Lonchura striata: one gene and its partners. Each later gene encodes a partner of the first gene's protein in a complex. Links are inferred from orthologs where the notes say so. Each region holds a gene or a part of one and is shown in the gene's direction. Other genes may lie near its edges. The genes, in order: LATS1, NF2 and WWC1.

Region 1 (7,235 bases):
TATTGATTATTGGGGGTGTACAGCCTCTTGGACCTTCCTTTTCTGGGTGAATACCTGTAGAAGCCCTTCCTGTTGTTATTTTCATCCCTTGCCAGGTTCAGGTCCAGCTTCTTCTTGCCCTTCCTCACTCTGTATCGCTAACCTTCATCTCTATACCAGGATACCTACTGCTCCATGCTTTCATCTGGAAAATGTGGCTTCCTTCTCTGTATAGGAGACTGTTTTTATATAAAAGTGAACTCTAAACTAAAAGTAGACTTAGTAAGCAATTCTTTAATGAGCTGTTAGATGCATTTGATCAGAACGGCTGTGCTTCTAGCAGGGTAGTTGTATACACAACCATGGAAGCTAGTGCAGATAGAGTAAAGCAAAATGCAGATACTAACAAACTTGAAAAAATGAGGAAGAAGGGGAGACTCAGCATTCATTTGTTGTCTTCACAGTGCTGAAACAGCTCACTTTCCTGGTAACTATGTGAACAGGACAGCAATTAATTTTATGCAGAAAATCCTGTGATTTGATGCTACGTTTAAATTAAAGGAGTAAAAGTATTTCTTGATATTAAATTTTACTGACTTAAATGTCTTCTGCAGTTGTGGTATTTAGACACAAAATAATGTGTGTCCTGGGAAGGAATGCACGCTATGTGCGGATTTAAACTTAACAGCAGGAGGGAATATGACATGATAGTATGCAAAATGCCTGAATTCACATAAGACCTTAACAATTTTCACAGTACTAAAAATGCAACAAAATAGCATCTTTTTCTTTGTTTTTCTTCTCTACCACTTTACCCCTGCCAGCAGAGGGAAAACTGCAGTATATAACTTAGGATGGGGCCTTTCAATTAAAAATGAAAGGTTTTGATGGAGGCATGGGTTCTTGTAAATACATGTCTATATCATACTATCCAAATACTTTGATTGAAGTACTTGAGACTTCTTCTAAAGTGGTTCTGTTTGATATTTCCAGTGTGGGAAGTTCACTTCCATCCCTCTGACCCTGATCATTTATTCACGTGTTCTGAAGATGGATCTCTTTGGCACTGGGATACTTCCACAAATGTATCTGAAAAACCATCTTTCCTTCATCAAGGTAAGGATGTTTGAAGTCCATCTGCACAGAATTTGTCAGTTGGTAACATCATTACAGTCAGTGTTCTCACATGACCCAATTAATAACACAATCTTAATACAGAAAATTAAAAGCAGCTTTCTTTTCTTAGAAAGCAAGCTTAGATAAGCACTTTTCTTGGATAAACACTTGAGAAAAACTACTTATACGGCAAACAGTTGTGCAGGGCTTTTCATGGTCTGGTTTGGTTTTTTTTAATCTGCTACCCTCTGACCAATGTGTGAAGGGTAGACTATATTCACTTAAAAATCATCTGTATGTAGAAAAGACACAGAGACAGCCTGACTGACATTTTTGAGTCTCCAAGGGAGTTACACTAACTTAGAATACAAAAATAATTGATAGGTTAATGAGACAGTAGAATTATGAATTTACAATTCAGGGTAATAATTGGAATTTTCAATAAATGAAACATTTTTGATCCTTTTGCATGGTGGCAGGATTTTAAAGTTATGATACTGACTTTTAATATATGCATTTATTTTCACATTCTAATCACAAAGACTGCTAAGTGCTTGCCACATTAGACAATAGTGGGGAAACTTTTAGATGTCACCTGTTGCCTTTGGCCTCAAAGTTGTCATTCAAAGTTTTATCTATGGAAATTATAGGATTACTAATTCAAGTTGGACTCTGCATGTTTTCAAGTATATGAAGTATAAATCCTTCAGCATCACTTCCAACACCTGCTAATCTTATGCTGAATGATGGTTCTTACAGTATGAGACTTCAATTTGAAAAATTCAAAGTCAAATACAGATTTATCACTTGCTGCAAAGTATGGAGGAAGAGCAGTAGGGAATAAGTGTTATTGTCGCAAGTTGAAAACCCCAAATAGAGGAAGACACTCTATAAACAGACGTGTTCTTGTACCCTTGCTTTAGTATCTGGCTAAAGAAACTTGCAGGTACTTACACCGTCCGGTGAGATGAGTTAATAGCTGTTGTGATATATTTGTCTTAACTGAGGGTAGAGCTGGTAGATAATTTTTGTAATTATTTCAAGTACTTGATTTTTTAAAGTTTCTTTTTCCTTAATTGACATCTCAACTACTCTGAAAACTGACTTAAATGTAATATTTTCATTATGTCTGACCCATATCTACTGTGTTTCTCCAAATTCTGAGAATATATAAACAGAATTGAAATTTATTTCTTTGTCTTCCTTCTTTCAGGAGGAAGAAGCACTGCCTATCTTTCCCACAGTACCATTAACCAGTCTGTAGTAAGTGCCTGGCTAAGCAGTGATCCGACCAAAGACCGCATGGAAATCACCAACCTGATTCCAAATCAGACTTTGTCTGTGAATAGTTTAGACGTTCTAGGACCATGCCTGGTATATGGTACTGACGCGGAGGCTATTTATGTGAACAGACACCTTTTTGCATGAAGTGACTGTGGGATCCCTTTGAAGTATTGACCAGCTTGAAGTACTGGGAAATGTCAGGTTCATTCTTAACGCTACTCACTAGTCTGTTGTTGGCGTGTGTGGGAGAGGCATCAGCTTGGTCCTGGTGCTGTGGAAGAAGTGAGGTACTTCACATTCTGACAGCTGTCACTTGATGCTCCAGGATGGGTAACTGAGCAAGCTTACATGCCATTTCTTACCTACTGCCTGCTTAGTTTTGACAAGCAGGAAAGTAGTCACTAAGGGCAAAATCTTTGCTGCAAAGTGATGTCCATAATACACATGTGCATAAAAACAGAAGAAAAGGTAAACCCTGAATTTTTATTTTTCCCTGTAAAGATATTTTTCAAGTATCATTTCTAAAGCAAAACCGTGGGCTTTGTGGAAATTCTTTTTATGTCACCTGAAAGAGATGGGTTTTTTTTTTAAGCTGAGTTTTTATATATATAGGGGAACATAACTGTTTATGTTGGTTCATGAGTTGGAAGGAAAACAGTTAAAGCTATGAAATGTGAAAGGTTCTATAGGAATCTGAGCATTATAGCAACATTATTTTGAATTATTCACAGCTTCATCATGGATGCTACATGTTAAAACTTGATAATACACCAGTAAATCTCCAAACAGAAAAATGGGGTTTATAATTCAGTAATAATTGACAGATGTGTTGGCTGTGTTTTCAGGTGTAAAAGTAAGACTTTCTAAACTTGAGACATAGTCTTTGTCACAAATTCACATCTGGGTTATTGAAATCTTTGTAAAGTTTTAAATTTTGTTATTAGCATTGTATCTGCTTTTTGTTACAGAGAGCCCTTTCTCTTTTTATTAAAAAGTTTTGCACAAGAGTAGTTGTCTGACTTACTAAAATAATTCAAATAGCTGTGCTTGCAGGAATGTAATTGGATTGAGCCTGGGTATTGAGCCTGAAGGATGGAGAAACCTCTGTGTTTGGGCAGGAACAGGTTAGTTATGAGGTGTTACACGGCATTTCCACCATAACCACTCTAGAGTGGTACTTTAAATCACGTCGGCGCGAGGGGCCTGGGTCTGCTGGGGCTGGAACACCTTACCTGATGCACATCTGTGTGTGTCTGGCTGCAGGAGCTGGATGGGGCGCTGGGGACAGGGCAGTCCTCCCTTTGTGTGGGGCAAGGTGTACTGAGTTGCCAGTGAGCTCCTTAGAGCAGCTTAAAGTTTTGCTTCCCGATTTATTTGAAATGTAAAAGATGGAAATGAAATGGATCACGCCAAGCGCTAACCGGTGGGTTTTCCTTCCTGTTGGTCTGTAACGAGTCCATCATTCGGGCATCAGTTGAAACACGAGGCTCGGCGGAACTTTCTCCTCCCCATTAAAAGAGAATGGGAAAACCAGAAGATGGGGATTTGTCCGCGGTGCCCGGCGCTGTCCCGGGAGAGCCGCGCTGCGCGGGCGCGCAGGGGTTACAGCGGGCCGCAGCTCCATCCGGGAGCGGCGGGAGCCGCGCGAGGCAGGCCGGGAGCTGCCCACATCCGGGCGGCTCCGCGCCGGGGACACCGACAAAATGGCGGCGCCGAACTGAGCGGCCCGGGGCGGCGGCGGGCGCTGGCGGAGGGACCGAGCGGGCGCTGCCGGCATCGCCGAGGGGCGGAGGAAGGGCGGAAGGAAGGGAAGGGCCGCGGCCGGTCGGCGCCGCGCGGGCGGGGCCGAGCTCCGGGCGCCCGGGGCGCTGCCCCGCCGCCTTGTCGCCTCAGGTAGAGTCCGCCGTGCGCGGGGCCGGGGCGGTAGCGGGCCCGCTCCGCTCGGCCCGACGTCCTGGGGCCTCTGCGGGACGCAGCCGTGGCAGCAGCGACGTCAGGGCACGGCCTGGGGCCGGCGAGGCGGCAGAAGCGCTGGTGTCCCAGCGGGGTACATTCGGGGTGCTCCTCCCGGCCGGGAAAGCCTCCTGCCTGCCTGGTCCTTGGGAGCCGGGTGCTGCTGTCCTGCAGCGATCCGTGCCGGCCTGAGCCAGCGCAGCGGGGCTCTGGCTGCCCTGCAGGTGTTAGCCCTGAAGATCGCTCCCAGGTGCGCCTCAAATGACTCCTGCTGCTCCCGGGAGTACATGTGTACGTAGAGAAGCTGCATCCTGCTAAAGGAGATAGCAGAGCGTAAGAATGGAAACAAACCGAGCGAGTGCACCAATGTTCCTAGTGTTCATCTGGTCTCTGGTTCTTCCCAGCTCTGGCTTCTCTGACCATATGCAGTTGTGCTTATGTGCTAATTTGGGGGTCCAGTTTTCTCCTTATCCTATGAAAACTTTTTGCATTGGAAGTGCATCCTTTTGGGGAATTGCTGTTGCAGCTCAATGGCTTGTTACCTGAAAGAAGAGCTTCCTTTAGTCGGTCTGAACAAGTCCTTACAAACTTAATTTTATGATTTGTGAGGTTTCTGTTACTTTGTTTATCCCTAGCAATGAAGCATTGTGATTATGTATAAGCTCTTACAATAGGTACATGAGGGAGGGCACCTACATACATTAATATGTGATGTTCAGTACTCAGTTGGCAATATGGGCATTGAAAGTATTTTTATAAGGAAATTTTATAACTTATTTTTATAAGTTAGATTACAAAGCTGTGTATTTTTACCCTCAGAAAATCATGGGAATCATTGACAGTTGCATGTTGCCATTCAGAGCATCACAGGCTGGTTTGGGTTGGAAGGGACCTTAGAGATAATCTCTTGTCAGCTCCCTGCCCCTAGACCAAGTTGTTCCAAGCCTCATCGGGCCTGGCCCTGAACACTTCTGAGCTTTCATCCAAGCATTTATATAAATATAAGTCCAATCTTTTATGATTATAATGTAGAAAAAAACATGATGGGCGTTCTTTTCCCTTACAGTTTGACCTGTAGAAGAAAATACTGTATTCCCATATTTTGAAAAGAAGTGAAAGATTATTTTTTTCAATTCCTCAATTCCTTTAGGGAAGAAAATTTAATCAGCAAAAACAGCTGCATTGACAAACAGATTATTTAAGGACACAAAACTACAAGAGGGAATAGACATCAGTTCTCTTGGGTACAGTTGGTGTTTGGTACTTAGAAGTACAAAGTTTGGATACTCACTTGAGATACTTACTCAACACTCTCTTCCTTTAAAATGTGTGCCAGTGTCTATAAGCAGAGGTGACTTTTGAGTTTTGAGATTTATATATAAAGCAAGGTAAACTCTAGTAATTCCTGTTCTCTGGAGGACTAATTTAATTTGTTTTCTAAGAATTAAGACTTAGTTTCACATGTACATGCTGGTACCCATCAGTGCTGTCAAAAGGAACAACCCACCAAAAAATGTTATTTATTTGGCTAAGTTCCTTAGCTTGGTTCATGCTGTCTGTCTGACCTTACAGTTATGCTGTCTGTGGTAAGTGGTGGGAGATAAGTGGACTGGCTGGTTTACACTTCTAAACTGCTGCTAAAAATTTAAGTTGGAGTGCAGCTTTATTTCCCAAGACTGCTCCTGATCTATGATTTTAGTTTCCTGTTAATTTAACCTTGATTTCTCCTAGAGGGTGTTAGATTTATCTATGCCAGCTACCCGAGGTGTAACTATGAAGTGAATATGGAAATACCAGATGAAATTTCTAAAATATGTCAGTGCAAAACCCCATTTTCTCCTGAATTCCAGGCCTTTGGAATTTGTTAAAAACTTGTGTATGGGTATTTTGTCAAGTTCTTACTTAATTTTCTTTGGAAAAAGTATTTTCAATGTGGTCTTAAATACGGCATGTTTGGAAAATTATTTTGAAAGTGGCCAAAATTAAATTACATTTTAATAGCTCTCATGCTCTACTTTCTGCTGATTTCTTAATACTTTGGGCAATATTTCACTGTTGATTATTAAAATTCACTCATGTCTGATGATCTCTTCCTTATTCAGTGAGCACTGAAGAATTAGATGCTATCAGACTGTATTAAAGAAACATATAGCTCCCCAACTACACTCATTTAAGGTTTCAAAGCTATCACAGTGCAAAGAAGGCTTGTGGTTGCAGTTATACCCCTTAAGGTTTAGAAAGTTTCATAAGAGAAATTCTGTTATTTCTAAAATGGTTCTCCAAGGAGAATGGGATTAAGTGGATATACCTTCAGTGTTACTTTTTGCAGTCCTTTTTTATGTATTACTTCCTAGTTTTCAGGTTTTATTTATATATAGGTAGCATGAGTATTTAATTCATATTATCTGCATGTGTTTCAGACGGTTCTTTTTCCTATTAACTTGTCATATTCTTCCTCAATTGCTTGATCACTGATTGGTTTGTGACAGTGCAAGTATTATAGAAATGAAACCTGAATGAAGAAAGAGTGACTTTATTGTAGACTGTAAAATTTTGGTACTTGTTTAATTTATGTCTAATATCAGAAATGCTTAGCAACAAGTAGTGAAGGAACACTGTGTTGGGCTTCAACATTTTTGTTGCCTGTGAAGAAAAGACAGCGCTGAAGCTTTTAGTTTATCTTGCACTATCTTAGTAACTGATCTTCCTCTGTGAAACAGTACGGACTGAAAAAGTTTAATTCCATGGTATTCTAAAGAGGCAAATGCTCTGCAATTTCTTCAGTGTTTCACTGTGGTTGCTTTATCCTTTGCCATGCAGTTGCAGTAATAATTAATGCCCAGCCTGAACACAGAGATTTGAGTTCTCTGCACACACAGGGCTCTTTCCCTGATGAGTCAGCG
Region 2 (7,573 bases), on another chromosome or scaffold:
GATCTCCAGGACCAGCAGGGGGATGCCGGGGACCTCCTCTGATGCCCCCAAACCTCCCGGGCCCCCCAGAGCTCAGAACCCCAACAAGGACCTCGTCAAACCCCCAGGGAGCCCCGATCCTGGGGAATCCCTGATCCATCCAGAGACCCCCAATCCCCAGGAATTCCCAATGCTCCAGAGACACCCCCGCAATCCCCAGGAATTCCAAATGCTCCAGAGACCCCCAATCCCCAGGAGTTCCCAATGCTCCAGAGACCCCAAATCCCCAGGAGTTCCCAATGCTCCAGAGACCTCCCCCCAATCTCCAGGAGTTCCCAATGCTCCAGAGACCCCCCTCAATCCCCAGGAATTCCCAATGTTCCAGAGACCCCCCCCCCCCAATCCCCAGGAATTCCCAATGCTCCAGAGACCCCCAATCCCCAGGAATTCCCAATGCTCCAGAGACCCCCCCCAATCCCCAGGAATTCCCAATGCTCCAGAGACCCCCCCCAATCCCCAGGAATTCCCAATGCTCCAGGGACCCCCCCCAATCCCCAGGAATTCCCAATGCTCCAGGGACCCCAATCTCCAGGAGTTCCCAATGCTCCAGAGACCCCAATCACCAGGAGTTCCCAATGCTCCAGAGATCCCCCCAAATCCCCAAGAATTCCCTGATTCCTCCATAGACCCCCAAATGCCCCAGGGATCCTTGATCCCACTGGGATCCCTGACTGCCCCAGGGACCCCCCATTCCCCCAGGATTCCTGGTTCTCCAAGGACTGCCCAACACCCCAGGACCCCTGAGCCCCCCGGGACCCCCCAGTGACCCAGGGACACCCCGGGATCGCTGACCCCCCTCCCAGGGACACCAGGTCCCCACGCCCCCCGGGTGTCTCCAGCCCCCCGTGCCCCTCTCACCCCGGTAGTAGTAGAGGCAGAGATCCACCAGTACAAACCAGCGGCGCTTCCAGAGCCGCAGCCCCGAGCTGTCCTGAGAAGCGGGGGTGGGGGGATGGGGGCTGAGCCCCCTCAGCCCATCCCCCCCCCCCGGGACCCTCTGCTGCCCCAGACCCCTCAATCCCTTCCGATCCCCCCAAGCTCCTCACTCCCGTAACCCCCCAGCACCTTCTTCCACCTCCGACCCCATGACCGCCCCACGCTGCCCCATCCCACCACGTGTCTCTGATCTCCCCAAAGCCCCCAGACCCCACAACCCTCCCTCACCCCCCACCGACCTCCCCCAAGTCCCTCCGATTTCCCCCGAGCCCCACACCCACCCCCATAACCCCCTGACACTCCAGACCCTCCCCCCAGCTCCTCCCCACCGCCCCAGGTCCTCCCAAAATCCACAAACCCCCCAGAAACCCCCGTACGACCCCTGAGCCCCCTCCCCAGCCCTCCCCTGGCCCCCTGCCTCACCTGCTTGTGCAGCCAGCCCTGCATGGCGGGGGGGCTGCGGGGGTCCCTCCGCAGCGCCTGCTCCCCCTTTCCAAAGGCGTGGACCCTCGGCACGGGCCGGCAGGGCTGGGCAGGGGGGTCACCCATTGCGGGGGGCCAAGGAAGGGCCCCCCAGCACCCCTACAGCCCCCCAGCCCTCCTACCCCTATTTATCTTTGCACCCCACAATGCCCCCCCAGCTGCCCAGAGCCCCCCCCCCCCCCTTGTGCCCCGTAAGTCCCTATGGAGTCTTGGGCTCCCCCGCACACCCCAATGCTCCACATGCCCCCTTCGAGCTCCCTCGGGTGCCCAGGGTTCCCCAAAACCCCCCCAGCCTCTCCGACCCCCCCATCCCCCCGTGGTTCCCCAGTTTCCCCCTCGCTGCCCCCACCCCCTTCTTCCACCTGGGTGCGGGGGCCAGCGGGGTCCCGGCGGGCGGGGTCGTCGCTTTCTGCCATGGGGGGTCCTGCGGGTGCAGCGGGGGGCGGGGGGGTCCCCATCAATGTCCCCATTGTCCCCATGAGGACAGAGGCCCCGTTCTTCCCGCTGCGGGGGCGGGGGCTGCTCCCGGACGCCTGAGTCCCCCCAGGGGTGTCGGGGGGGCTTCTCGGCTCCCGCTGCTCCCTTCCCCCTCCTGCTCCTGCCGGATTTTGGTCCGCCCCGTCCCCCTGTGCTGGTGCCGGTTTCTGTCCAAGGAACCCTAAACTGGTCCCAGTTCCCATCCCAGTGTCCCTGGACTGATCGCAGTCCCTGCCGTTATCCCCGTGCCGGTAACTCTGAGCGGATCCCGGTTCCTGTTCCGTTCTCCCGTGCCCGTCCCAGTTCCCAGCCCGTTATCCCACACCGATCGGGGCGGCGGTCCCGTCCCCTTGCCCTGGTGACGGGTCCCATTCACCGTCCCATCATCCCAGGGACGGTCCCGGTTCCGTTACCGCAGCTGGTCCTGCTCCCAGCCCCGTCCGATGTCCCGCTAGTGCTGCCAGTCCCGGCCCGTTGCGCCGCGCTGGCCCCGGTCCCTGTCCCGGTCCCGGTCCCTGTTCCCAGCCGCAGTCCCAGTCCGGGTCCCTGTCCCACTCCCGGTCCTTGTCTCAGTCCCTGTCCCTGTTCCTGTCCTAGTCCCGGTCCTGGTCTGAGTCCCGGTCCCTTTCCCAGTCCCGGTCCCTGTCCCAGTCCCAGTCCCTGTCCCTGTCCCTGTCCCGGTCCCGATCCCGATCCCGATCCCGATCCCAGTCCCGGTCCCTGTCCCAGTCCCGGTCCCTGTCCCAGTCCCGGCCGCAGTGCCGGTCCCTACCCCGGTCCCTGTCCCTGTCCCTGTCCCGATTCCAGTCCCGGCCGCAGTCCCGGTCCCTATCCCGGTCTCTTTCCCTGTCCCAATCCCAGTCCCGGTCCTGCCCCGTGTCCCCGCCCGCCCCGGGCGCTGGTCCCAGTCTCTGCCCCCACGCTCGGCTGCCCCCGGGACCGCGCGGGTCCCCTCGCCCCGGCAACCACCGAGGGGGCAGCACCCCGTGTCACCCAGGGAACCCCGTCCTGCGGGGACACCCCATGGCACTGGGGACACCCCATGGCACTGGGGGCACCCCAAGGACCTCACGGACCCCCAAAACCCTCAGATCTCAGCGATCCCTGACACCCCAAGGACCCTTACGCCCCACGGGCTCTGCACACCCCCCGGACACCCCCAAATCCCGGACACCCGGACACCTCGGGGACCCCTGACATCCCGGGGACCCCGGGCCCCACAGACCCTGGACACCCCACTGACCAGGGGTCCCGGCCACCCCACGGACACGCCGGACATCCCTGGATCCCGGACACCCCGCGGACCCCTGACACCCCACGGGCTCCGGACACGCCAGGGTCCCCTGACATCCCCCCTGCCTCCCGTGTCCCGGGGTCGCCGTGTCCCTATCCCCGTGTCTTTGTGTCCCGGTGTCCCTGCCTCCGTGTCCCTGCCTCCCGTGTCCCGGTGTCCCCGATTCCCATGTTCCCGTGTCCCCGTGTCCCTCCCTCCCGTGTCTCCATGTCCCAGTGTTCCGGTGTCCCCGTTTCCCCGTGTCCCCGTTTCCCCGACTCCCATGTCTCCGTGTCCCCGTGTCCCCGTGTCCCTCCCTCCTGTGTCCCTCCCTCCCGTTTCTCCGTCTCCCGGTGTCCCGGTGTCCCGGTGCCCCGGTGTCCCCGTGTCCCGGTGTCCCGGTGTCCCGGTGTCCCCGTGTACCGGTATCCCCGTGTCCCGGTGTCCCGGTGTCCCCGTGTCCCGGTGTCCCGGTGTCCCGGTGTCCCTCCCTCCCGTGTCCCCGTGTCCCCGTGTCCCGGTGTCCCGGTGTCCCGGTGTCCCGGTGTCCCGGTGTCCCCGTGTCCCCGTGTCCCTCCCTCCCGTGTCCCCGTGTCCCCGTGTCCCGGTGTCCCGGTGTCCCGGTGTCCCCGTGTCCCTCCCTCCCGTGTCCCGGTGTCCCGGTGTCCCGGTGTCCCCGTGTCCCGGTGTCCCGGTGTCCCGGTGTCCCTCCCTCCCGTGTCCCCGTGTCCCCGTGTCCCGGTGTCCCGGTGTCCCGGTGTCCCGGTGTCCCGGTGTCCCGGTGTCCCCGTGTCCCTCCCTCCCGTGTCCCCGTGTCCCCGTGTCCCGGTGTCCCGGTGTCCCGGTGTCCCCGTGTCCCTCCCTCCCGTGTCCCGGTGTCCCGGTGCCGGGTCCTGGCGCTCGTCCCCGCCAGCAGAGCGCTCCGCCCGCCACCAGGGGGCGACACCACCCCGCCACATCGCTTCCTCACGCCGCTCTTCATGGCCCCGCCTCACCCCGCCCTTTCTCTTGAGCGACGTCCCCACTACCCAATCACAGCCGCTTCTCCTCCCGCCTCTTCAGCACACCCATTTCTATTGGCTGGGAGGGGCGGAGGGGCGGGCGCGCCGCGCTGCGCGGCCAATGGCGGGGCGGAGGGGGCGGGGCCGGGCCGCCATGGCGCCGCCGCCGCGCTGACCGTGCCGCGCCGCCATGGCCGGGGCCATCGCGTCCCGCATGAGCTTCAGCTCCCTCAAGCGCAAGCAGCCCAAGACCTTCACCGTGCGCATCGCCACCATGGACGCCGAGATGGAGTTCAGCTGCGAGGTGACGGCCCGCGCGGGCGCGGGGTCCCGCTGAGGGCCCGGCCCCCACCCCCCAGCCCTGAGGCCCCTCCGGTCCCTCCCGGCCCCCCCCGCCGGTTCCCTGGGCCGGCAGCGGCTCGGCCTTGTTCTGCTTATAAATCAGCCTTATCCTGGTGTCATTTGCGTTATAATTGCACAACAATCTGCCTACAATTCGGCTTTTCTTTGGTTAATAACTCACCTTTACTTTGGTTATGAATCGGTACCATTTGGCTTTGCTTTGGTCATAAGTTGGCTTTGTTTTGGTTGTGATTCAGTGTTTATTGCTTGTAAAATTCAGTTGTATTCTGATCATAGTTTGGCTTAGTTGTTGTTGTCAGTAGTCCTTATTATGTGTGTAACTCAGCATTGTTTTGGTCATAAATTGGCTTTTTTTCTGTGTATAATTTTGCTTTAGCCTGGGTATATTTGGCATTATTCTGGTTATTATCCATCTATGCTTTGGTTATAATTCAGCTTTATTTTGGCAATTATTCATCTTCACTCCAGGTGCAATTTAGCTTTATTTGGGTTATTATTTGGCTTCATTTCGATTACAATTCGATCTCGTCCTGGGTGCAATTTGGCATTACTCTGGTTATAATTAATCCTATACTTTGGCTATAATTCAGCTTAATTCTGGGTATAATTCAGTTTTATCCTGGTTATAATTCAGCTTTATTCTCATTACAATCCAGCTTCCCTTGGGCTCTAATCCAGCGCTGTCCTGCCATCCCAGCCCAAGTCACCACTACACTGTGGCTGTCACAGGGCTTGAGGAATCTCTGTGTCAAGGCTTAAATCCACAGGAATCCAACTCCCAGGTGCTCCACAAACACCCAAGGACAGGATTTTGGCATTTTCCTGAGCTCTTAGCTCACCATGAAGCTGAGGGATGCTCCGGGGGGTTGGGTCTGGCTTTTCTGTGATAATTTCCCTTTTTGGGGCCCTTGGAACTTGTAAGGCGTTCTCCCAGGGCGTTGCTGCCAAACTTTGCTTTTTCAGCTGATCCAGAGGGATTGGCCACACGAACACTGAAACCCCTCTCCAACCTCTGCATTTAATAGTTTATATTTCATTATCCTGCCCCAAACCCTGAGAGAATCCCAGCGCCCATCAGCCAAGGGGAGTTTGTCATCACCGATTTCCTGGCTCTGGAAATCTGCTCTCAGCCCTGAAGGACTTCCTGCTTTTCCTTGGGATTAAGGATTTGCTCTGGGCAGCCGTGTGAGCTTCCCACTTCCAGCAGAGTGTGAGTGTCCTGGCTGTGTTTTCCCTGGTTTCCCAAGGCTGCAGCAATAACTGATGGTGGAAAGTAAATAAATGTGAATTTTAGTGCTGTGGCCGCGTGTCACTTCGGGTGTCACTTCCCGCTGAGATCAGGGGGGTTTGTGCAGCATTCCCGTGGGATTTGGCCGTGGAACTGCTGCATCTCCAGCTGACTTTCCTGGGAGGTTCCTGCCAAAAGAACTTGTTGCTGCAGAGGGACTCCTGCAGCTGGAAGGAGCTCAGGCCCTGCTGGGGGCTCCTTGTGGTGGAGCTGGTGCAGGGGGGATGCAGAGGGAATTCAGAGCTCGTCCTTCAGCAGGGAATATTGGAGCAGGAGGGGGGATAGATGGATGCAGGTGGGTGATGGGGCTGTTTCACACCTTGCAGGTGAGGAGTGAGTTTTTATGGAATCGTGGAACGGTTTGGGTGGGAAGGGATCTTAAAGCTCATCCCGTTCCACCTCCTGCCATGGGCAGGGACATCTCTCACTGTCCCAGGCTGCTCCCAGCCCCATCCAGCCTGGCCTTGGGCACTGCCAGGGATCCAGGGGCAGCCACAGCTGCTCTGGGCACTCTGTGCCAGGGCCTGCCCACCCTCACAGGGAACCTTCTCAATCTCCCATCCATCCCTGCCCTCTGGCAGTGGGAGCCATTTCCTGTCTCCTGTCCCTCCATCCCTTGTCCCCAGTCCCTCTCCAGCTCTCCTGGAGCCCCTTTAGGCCCTGGAAGGGCTCTGAGCTCTCCCTGGAGCTTCTCCTCTCCAGGTGAGCACCCCCAGCTCTCCCAGCCTGGCTCCAGAGCAGAGGGGCTCCAGCCCTTGCAGCATCTCTGTGGCTTTCTGAGGTGTGGCTTTTATCCAAGCTCCATCTGAGCTGTCCAGCTCCCTGGCTGGATCTCTGTCCCAGTTCTTGTCCTGCTCTGGGGACAGCTCCTCACTGTGCTGACTCTGCAGAAGCATCCCTGGGGCACAGGGATCAGACACACCTGGAGTGCCTGGGGTGGGAAGGTGGCCCAGGGAAGGGCTCAGCTTGCTCTACACCCACAGTGGGACCTGGAGCCAGGAGTGGAGTTTGTGCCCTCCTGGGAGTCAGTGGGGTGGCAGAGTTGATTTTTGGGTCAGGCTGCTCATCCCTGAAGGAGTCTGGCCCCTGTCCCAAGGTTTGCCAAGAGAAAAGAGTGAGCAGCTCTGTTCACACAGCTGTCTGTGTGCTTTGAGGTGCCTTTGGCCAGGAAGGAGAGGGAAGTCTGCCTCACAACCACTTGGGACGATGAGAGGAAGGAGGTGCAGTGGGAATCCTGCAGTTTGGGGGCTCTTGAGATGTGTTTTTGTGGCCTGTGAGTGGCACCTCGTGCTGACAGGGACAGAGAGCTGCTGATCTGTTGGATGTCTGGAGTTGGTCTTCCATAATCCTTTGGGATTCCTCCCAGCTCAGGATATTCCATGACCCAGCTGTAGCTGCTGGAGACTCACTTTCTTTCTCAGTGTTAATTTTTCAGTCTGCTCCCTAGAAATCCCCAGCTGTGCATTTTAAGGGATTAAACCTGCTTTGCATGTTTATTTTGCAGTTGACGTCTCTAAATTGAGCCTAAATCTAAAATAATTCCTAGAAATGAAATCTTAATCTTTCTAACACAGTGATGGGGATTAATAATCACGGTTGGGGTTTCACTTTAAAGACTTCAGATTTGTTTGGGGAAATCTTGAATTGTCTTCCTTTGGCTACTTCCATCTTGGAGGCTTGAGCTGTACCTAATTAATTGATAACATCTGGAGG
Region 3 (7,242 bases), on another chromosome or scaffold:
AGCTGTCAAAGGTGTCCTGCACTGTATCCTGTCCTTCCGAGGCAGAGCCCGGCTGACAGAGTTTCCTGCCCTGCAAACGATGCTGGCAAGGATGCTGCCCTGTCAGAGCCAGCCTTGCCCATGGTAATGGCCTGAACATTTGCAATGGTGTGAATAGTGACCCGTGGCTTGGTAGAGCCCTGACCCAGGAGTGGCTGCCAGGCAGTCTGTCTGTCCCACAGACTGCAGCAGCTCCCCCCGGGTCACAAGAGCCCTGTGTAATGGCCTCACCACTGAGGACTTGACCACCATTGAGTCTTTTCCAGCCTCAATGAATCTGTGTGATTCTATTGCATCTTGTTTCATGAACAAACTACTCAGAAACTTCTTATGACTGACTTTCAAGAAGATAAAATCCAGCCAGCAGTTTTCCTGGTGTACTGGGGAACCCAGCTGCTGCACGGATCCCATTTAATGACCTGTGTTTAATGGTGACCTTGTCGCAGGAAGATGTGACCCTCTCCATCCCTCACATCCCTCCTCGGCCACACTGCCCTGCGTGGGACAGCCCTGTGCCACACATTCCCTGTGACTGGACACAGGGACACAGGGACAGATGTCTCATCTGGAACGAGGGGTGCTGGGACCAGTGGGACACCAGGCATGGTGCAGCCAGCACCTGCCAGAGCAGCAGGATGGCTTTGCGGATGCCAGCTGCCTTTGCTTTTTATTTAAGGCCTCCAGCAATGGGTCTTTTAAGGAGTAGTTTGAAAGAAAACAATGAAGTGGCTTTGCCAGTGTTTACAGAAAATCCCTTTCATGTTGGTACTGAAAGTACAGCAGGTTGTGTGCGTTCTTCCCTGCCTCCTGGGCACCTCTGCTCTTCCTGCTGGGCTGGAAACAGCTTCTGAAAGCAGGAAGGCTTCAGGTTACTTCCACAATGAAATGTTCCATTGCTCCTAACCCGTTTTTGACTGTTCTAAAAAATAAAGGTGCATTTGGAAAGGGAAACAAATTGACATACAGTTTGGGGGTGGGCAGGATAGGGAAGGGCCTTTTTAGAACAGTAAGGGAGCTCTCCACAGAAATGATACTGTGTTTCAAGTTGAAAAATACTGGCGGTTTTAAATAAAATGTAGCATTTTGGCTAAATGTAATTGCTTTCTGGTAATCGAATTTAAACCCATTTTCCCTCCTATTGCAGTTCAGATATCTGAAGGTGTTAGCTAACAGACCAATACTGTGCCTCAGCCACTTTTCACCTTTGAGTTTTTGTTATTTGCACTCAATTAAGAATAGAGCTTCAGGTGTCAAGTACAAAATTAAAGACTTTTGAATGTATTAGGAAAAAAGAAACCCAAGTATCAAGCAGCCAGCTGCTCTAAAACAGAAAACAGCAGCAGATAAAGACAGCTCCTGTTACTGAGCAGTTTGTAACCAGCCTGTTGTGGACTCTGGTGGGATTGGGGTGCAGCACATGAGGTCATGCTGGAGATGTTGACCGAAGGGCAAAAAAAAATTCATTTTCTGCAGACTTTGTTCTCTGCTCTGCTCTTCCTTTTCACATAGCTAAGAGCTTACCTACAAACCAAATCGCCCTCTTCTTTGCTCACAAGAAAACAATCACCTGTTTGTTTATTGTTTTACAGTTCAAACAGACTCTGATAACGCTGAATTCCTTTGTTGTGAATGTAAGTGGTAAAAGGGAGTAAGTTATCATATGCACATTCCTGATTACGTTTGTAAATTCATATGGTTCAACGACAGGTTGGGTTTTTTTCTGAGTTAATAAATAAAGAGGAGTGGACAAATAAAATCTTTTGACTTGAGTCAGAACTACCTGCAAATATTTTCTGAGGTATTTATTTCAAAAGCAATTATGTTAAAAAAAAATGCACAAATACTTTCTTCCTAAATAGAGTTGATGACATCTGGAACAAAAAAAAGGGTATTCAGTCAGCTTCTTTACATACAGCCTTTTGCTATATGCTCTAAATATGCTCTGAAAATTTGAAGAAAAAACTTTAAAATAAACATGCCTTTTGGAAGTGCCTCTATGCTGGAACATATGACCACAAAAACAGGACCATGAAAACACATCATAATTTATTATCACTTTGCTGTTTACTTCTCTTGTAATATTTAAAAGCATTGGTTGCTGCTGATTTTTTTTCTTATTGCCACATTTTCCCTTTTTAAATGTCTTGAGCACTTTGCTGAGCGCTTTACAAAGACAGAAACACGATTATCCACAAAATTAAAAGCAGAAAAGAGAAACTAACAGCCAGAGTGAGTAGCCCAGTGCCCCACAGAAATGCAATGCCCTCCGCTGGCGCGGGCCCAGGGCTCCCAGCACTGCCAGTGTCTGCTGGCTGGAGTGGCGCTGCTCCCAGTGCTCCCTGCCGAAAAAAACCACAAGCCCTGCTCAGAGCTGTGGACAGAAGCAGTGTTTATTCATTTAGTCTTCACTTATTATTAATTTAAAAGCCTTGTGTATAGTGTTGTTCATAATAGCAACTTATTTAGTAGCTCACACCAAGTCTGGCTTCAGATAAAATGGGGTTAAACCAGGCTATTTTCCAAATGCCTCACTTTCAATTTTACTTGTCTTCATTTTCTTCCCTGCTCAACCACTTCATCGGCCAACTGCTACCACATTCTGTTTCGGCCTCCAGAGGATTAGCAGCTCTGACTCTCAGCAGGCTGTCAGAAAGCCTGATAGGAAAAATCCCACAGAATCTGCCACAAAAGTGAGATGTTATTTCTAATTGTCTTTTTCACTTTTACTTTTCCTCTCCAGCCTTTCGAGGCTCTCCTCTTCCCATCCTCCAGTCTCCTTTTCCACCCGTGTGCTTGGCAGGGATCCCTGCTCCATTCTGCGCTTCAATAGCTGCAGCTCTACAAAGCCTCTCGCTTTGCCCCTGCCCTCGGCAGGGGGAAGGCGGCGTTGGTGCTGCTCGCCAGGAAAGTGCCACCTCACACACAAGTGCGCTCCTGCCACGCTGGGCACATCACCCGCCGCAGCCCACGGCCCCATCCCGTGCCACCCATGAGCTCTTACTGTGACACTTTGTCACGGGTGTCTGTTCCAGCCCAAATGACTGAAATGGGAGAGAAGGCTGTGCAGGGCATGTCCTCATCGCTGCTTCCATGCTGCAGGGCAGCTGTGCCGGAGCCACGCTCAGGCACCGGCAGCGGCTCTCGGGAAGGGTCCGTGCCCGCGGGGCGGGCTCCATCACCGTCCCTGCGGCGTGCGGCTGTACCGGGCTGTCTGTGCCACCCCAGCTACTTTTGTAACCCGGCTTCCCCGTGGTCCGAGTGGACCCAGGTTCCGGCTGCCAGGAGTTTTCCCTCTGGAACCCACAGAAAGTCACCCCCGTGGGCTGCTCCCATGGCTCCTGGCTGCCGGCCGGCCCTGCGGGGAGCCCACCGCGGCCGAGCCGGGTTACCCGAGGGCAGTGCCACCGGAGCCGGGCCCAGGGGCGCCCGAGCTGCTGCGCCCGTCCGTGCGATGCCAGCACCGGCACCCCGCGGCCGTGTCCCCCAGGGCACCGAGCAGCCCCGGCCCCGGCCCGGTGCCCCGGCCCCGCGGGGCCCCGAGCCCCGAGGCTGCCCCGCGGCGCTCGGGGGCGCGCAGCCCGCGGGGCCGAGCGGGCCGCGGCCGTGCCGGGCGGGGGCGGGCCCGGGGCGGGCCCGGGCGGGGGCGGTGCCGCCGCGGAGTCGCGGGCCGGCCGCCGGCGGAGCAGGAAATGGAGGCGTGAGCGGGCGGAGCGGCCGGGGCTCCGCGCCCAGCGCTGACCGCGGGCTCGCCGCCGCCGCCCTCCCGCCCCGCCCCGGCCCGCCCCCGCCGCGGGGCCGGCATGTGAGGCTGCCCGGCGGCGGCGCCTCCCTGCGCGGCTGGGCCGGCGCGGCCCCCGCACCGCTGCGCGCCGCCCGCGGGAGGGGAGCCCCGGCACGGCCCCGGAGCGCAGCGCGGCCGTGCATGGGGCGGCGCGGACCATGCCGCGGAAGGAGCTGCCGCTGCCCGAGGGCTGGGAGGAGGCGCGGGACTACGACGGGAAGGTGTATTACATCGACCACGGCAGCCGCACCACCAGCTGGGTCGACCCCCGCGACAGGTGGGCGGCGGCGGGCGGGGTCCCCGCGGGGTGCGGCAGAGCCCGGCCGGTCCCCGCCGCCGTCCCGCGGCTCCGCTCGGGCTCCGCGGCTCGGCAGGGCAGGGCGGGACGCGGCGGCGTTACCTGCGGGCCTGGCCGGGCAGCGGCGGCCGGCCAGCACCGGGAGCGGAGGGATGAGGGGGCTCAGCGGGTCGTGTCGCCGCCGTGCGGGCTCCGTCCGCGGCCGGCCCGGCCGTGCCGTGCTGCGGAGCCGCAGCGCACGCTGCGAGCGGCGCGGCCATGCGGCCCTTGCGGCTCGGAGCCCGCCCGGGGAGCAGCGGGGGCTCCGTGCGGGGGCTCGGGACGAGGTGGGGTCGCAGAGGGTTCAACGAGCCCTGTCCTGCATCGTGGCTCATCTCTGCGAGCAGCTACGTGGCCTCATCGAGCTTGGCCGTCGCGGAGGTCACTGACTTCAGGGTGTGTCTCGGATCGCCCCTCTTTGCCGCCGCCTTCCCTGCGGTATCCCCTTGCTCCTGCTCGCTCCGAGTAGTTCTTTTCCTGCAGCGCTGACTTGGAAAAGTAAGATAAACAGAAAACAGGGTGCTGCTCAATACCGAGGTCATTTCCAAGCAACACTCTGTCCTAGCATGTTGTAGTTCCATGCTTGAGGCAATCATGGTGAGCCAGAGCACGGGAGTTTGGACGTGCAGGAAGCTCAACTACTCAATCACTACTGAAATTAGAAGTTTTTAAATTTCTCATTTAATACTTTGTTAGGTGAAGTTCGCAAAAACAGGAACTCAAAAATCCATCCCAGCGAGTTGGAAATTCCAACAATCTGAACTATGCAGTTTGTTGTTGATAAATTTCACACACTTCCCCATCTGACAGCGAGCGTTTTCCTTGTGGGGCAGAAAGGTTAATTTCTGAATCTGTGTTCTTTTCTTCCCCTTGCTCTAGCGATCAGTTCCCTGAAGGGGCTTCCATTCTCGGTGGGATGTCAGGACTTTGCCTTGCTCCGTTTACTTAGATGGGCTTTTTGTTAAGCATGGAAGTGAATGATTGTCCAGTTTTACAAGATTTCAAGGAGTGTTCTGCATTCCAGGAATAATCCTTGTGTGTACTGTACACAAATGTAACCTGCTGCCAGCCAGGGCTTTGGAACTCGTCTTGGGGTTCAGTTTTAGGAATGTGGCTGAGAAGGGCCAGTAACAGAGTTGTTCCAAGTTGTTTCTTTAACCTTCATAAAAGTCAATGGAAGCTAAAATTAGAAATGCTTTCCTGGCATCCTTATTTTGTTCAGAGAATGAAGACAAGTGAGAAATCTAATAGGCCTAATGCAGGCTTATAAAAATTCTTGTGTGTCCTTGGCTAGTGATTCAAGAATGACAGAAATGACTAAATGGGTGCCTTATTTAGCCATGTGTTCTGAGCTGTCGCAGAATCTACCTGCTCACCGCTGCTAGAGGAGAATAATCAAACACACTCTGATAACTCTTATCGCATGACACTTGTTGTGCACATAGAAATACACCTGAATACACGTGGCCCTGACGAGCTTTGCATCTGAGTCATCTTCCAGTACTGCTACCAAGGGAACTGCCCCTGGAAATCCACAAGGTTTTGAAGAATCTGCTGGTCCACAGTAGAACAACTATGACCCAACACCTACCCATCATTTAGTGGACCATGAGCTTTGATGAGCTGAAATTGTTCTCCGCCATACAGGAAAGAAGTTTCTTTTCCAAGTAATTACCACTGCCTGTGAAGCCCAGTTGATAGGGGATTTTTCATCAGATCATAAGATGCCTGTTCCCTGTAGGGGAGTGAACTTGCATTTACACAATTCACATTGAACTTTATCACTGTATTTTAAAGTTTAAATGATTGAAAGCTTAGCCTTTTACAGGTCATATTTAAAATTGCTGCAGCTGATACGTGGGTTTGTGAAGTTGCTACAGTGCTCTGTGTGCTGTTACACATTCTGTCTGTAACCCAGCATAAAGCAATAGGTAATGGGTAGCATGGCTGTAGAAATGCAAGTTTGAGGAATGTGGAGGAAGAAGTGTGTTAGGGCTCACTCTGAACCCAGGGCCAGCAGGGACCTTTGTAAACCTGATCAGCGAGTAGCAAGTGAAAGATAGAACACAGATGTTTAAACCTTCCCTAAATATTTCATTCTAGCTTAATTTAGTGGAAATAAACATGAGCAGGGATACTATCTACCTTCAGGGCATGAGCCATGCCATTGTTTAGTGGCAGCAGGTTTGCAGTCCTGCTGAGGTTGGTTTAACAGGCTGCCAGGGAAGCAGACCTGACTGTGGGCTGTGGCAGGGATGGAGAGGCAGAGGGTGAAAGGTGGGACCTCAGCTGGCCCTGGGCTGTCAAATCAGAAGGGGCTGGTGCTTTTCCAGTTCTTGTTTAACTCATTACTCCAGTCCTGCTGATGGGCTGTTAGACTTGGCCAGGAGGAGGTCCCTGGCACCTGGTGGCATCTCGCTATCCTGCAGAGCTGACCCAAGTGATGCCCAGGTGCCTGGAGCCTTGGTTGAAGCAGTTGCATGTCAGAGCACTTTTACCTTGTTTAAGACTCAGGGTGTCCTCCGAAGCCTGTGGATGTTGGAACATTTTGGGAAATAATCTAAGATTAAATAATCTGAAGAGTTTTGTGATTTAACTGTTGCTGAGCCTGTGGTGTGGTTTAACAAGGTACTTTGCATTGCAGGAATTTCAGGTTAAAAAGCTCTAAGGTAATTCTTCTGAACAGGTGGGGAGAAAACCCATATTCTGCTGTGTTTTGCCTTTTGTAAGAGGAAGCTCACATAGCTGCCTTTTTTGGTAGATCTGTTGAAAATTTGATAATTCAGGAATGAAATACAGTGTGACAGGAGATCAAACCTTATTGAGCTGGAGGAGAAAATTTGTCATTCCTGGTTTTTAAAACTAAGCACAACCTTTCAGGTCTGCACCAGTACATACCAGCTGGTAAACCATGCCAGAGAGCTGTCTCAGTTGCTTTCTTAACGCAGAGGGTGCCTCTGCTTTGGAAGCTGCTGTGCTGGTGGCCAAACAGAAATACCAGTGGTGTCTTAAAAGTTCAGCACCAGCTGCTTCCTGCTCTTAAGCATCAGCATGAGAAGCACTTGAACAACGGAGTGCCCTGAGT

The links.
Region 2: the proteins of LATS1 (region 1) and NF2 are in contact, whole or in part, in a crystal structure (PDB 7LWH), measured with the Homo sapiens proteins. The link is inferred for Lonchura striata from reciprocal best matches to the Homo sapiens genes LATS1 and NF2. Residues at the interface, in NP_004681.1 of Homo sapiens: Pro69, Lys70, Phe71, Gly72, His74, Ala77, Leu78, Glu80, Ile81, Arg82, Ser84, Leu85, Phe88, Ala89, Asn90; in NP_000259.1 of Homo sapiens: Pro135, Glu136, Ala137, Val139, Leu140, Tyr144, Asn175, Leu176, Tyr177, Gln178, Met179, Met183, Trp184, Arg187, Trp191, Glu206, Ile210, Asp213, Leu214, Glu215.
Region 3: the proteins of LATS1 (region 1) and WWC1 are in contact, whole or in part, in a crystal structure (PDB 6J68), measured with the Mus musculus proteins. The link is inferred for Lonchura striata from reciprocal best matches to the Homo sapiens genes LATS1 and WWC1. Residues at the interface, in NP_034820.1 of Mus musculus: Ala546, Glu547, Ala548, Pro549, Ser550, Tyr551, Gly553, Pro554, Pro555, Pro556, Pro557, Tyr558, Leu562, Leu563; in NP_740749.1 of Mus musculus: Asp17, Tyr23, Ile25, Asp26, His27, Arg30, Thr31, Thr32, Ser33, Trp34, Asp64, Val67, Tyr70, Ile72, Asp73, His74, Lys77, Thr78, Thr79, Gln80, Ile81.

The regions. Positions count from the first base shown.
Region 1 is NC_134605.1:57,529,317-57,536,551, forward strand, and holds the start of LATS1 (serine/threonine-protein kinase LATS1), read left to right. Parts: upstream 1-4,197; 5' UTR 4,198-4,272; intron 4,273-4,678; exon of another isoform or gene 4,679-7,235. Other genes in the region: nucleoporin Nup43, read left to right, coding at 973-1,095, 2,309-2,523. UniProt on the Homo sapiens protein: Negative regulator of YAP1 in the Hippo signaling pathway that plays a pivotal role in organ size control and tumor suppression by restricting proliferation and promoting apoptosis.
Region 2 is NC_134620.1:2,944,121-2,951,693, reverse strand, and holds the start of NF2 (merlin), read left to right. Parts: upstream 1-4,356; 5' UTR 4,357-4,399; coding exon 4,400-4,513; intron 4,514-4,579; exon of another isoform or gene 4,580-5,782; intron 5,783-7,573. UniProt on the Homo sapiens protein: Probable regulator of the Hippo/SWH (Sav/Wts/Hpo) signaling pathway, a signaling pathway that plays a pivotal role in tumor suppression by restricting proliferation and promoting apoptosis.
Region 3 is NC_134617.1:13,832,511-13,839,752, forward strand, and holds the start of WWC1 (protein KIBRA), read left to right. Parts: upstream 1-3,894; 5' UTR 3,895-3,978; coding exon 3,979-4,097; intron 4,098-7,242. UniProt on the Homo sapiens protein: Regulator of the Hippo signaling pathway, also known as the Salvador-Warts-Hippo (SWH) pathway.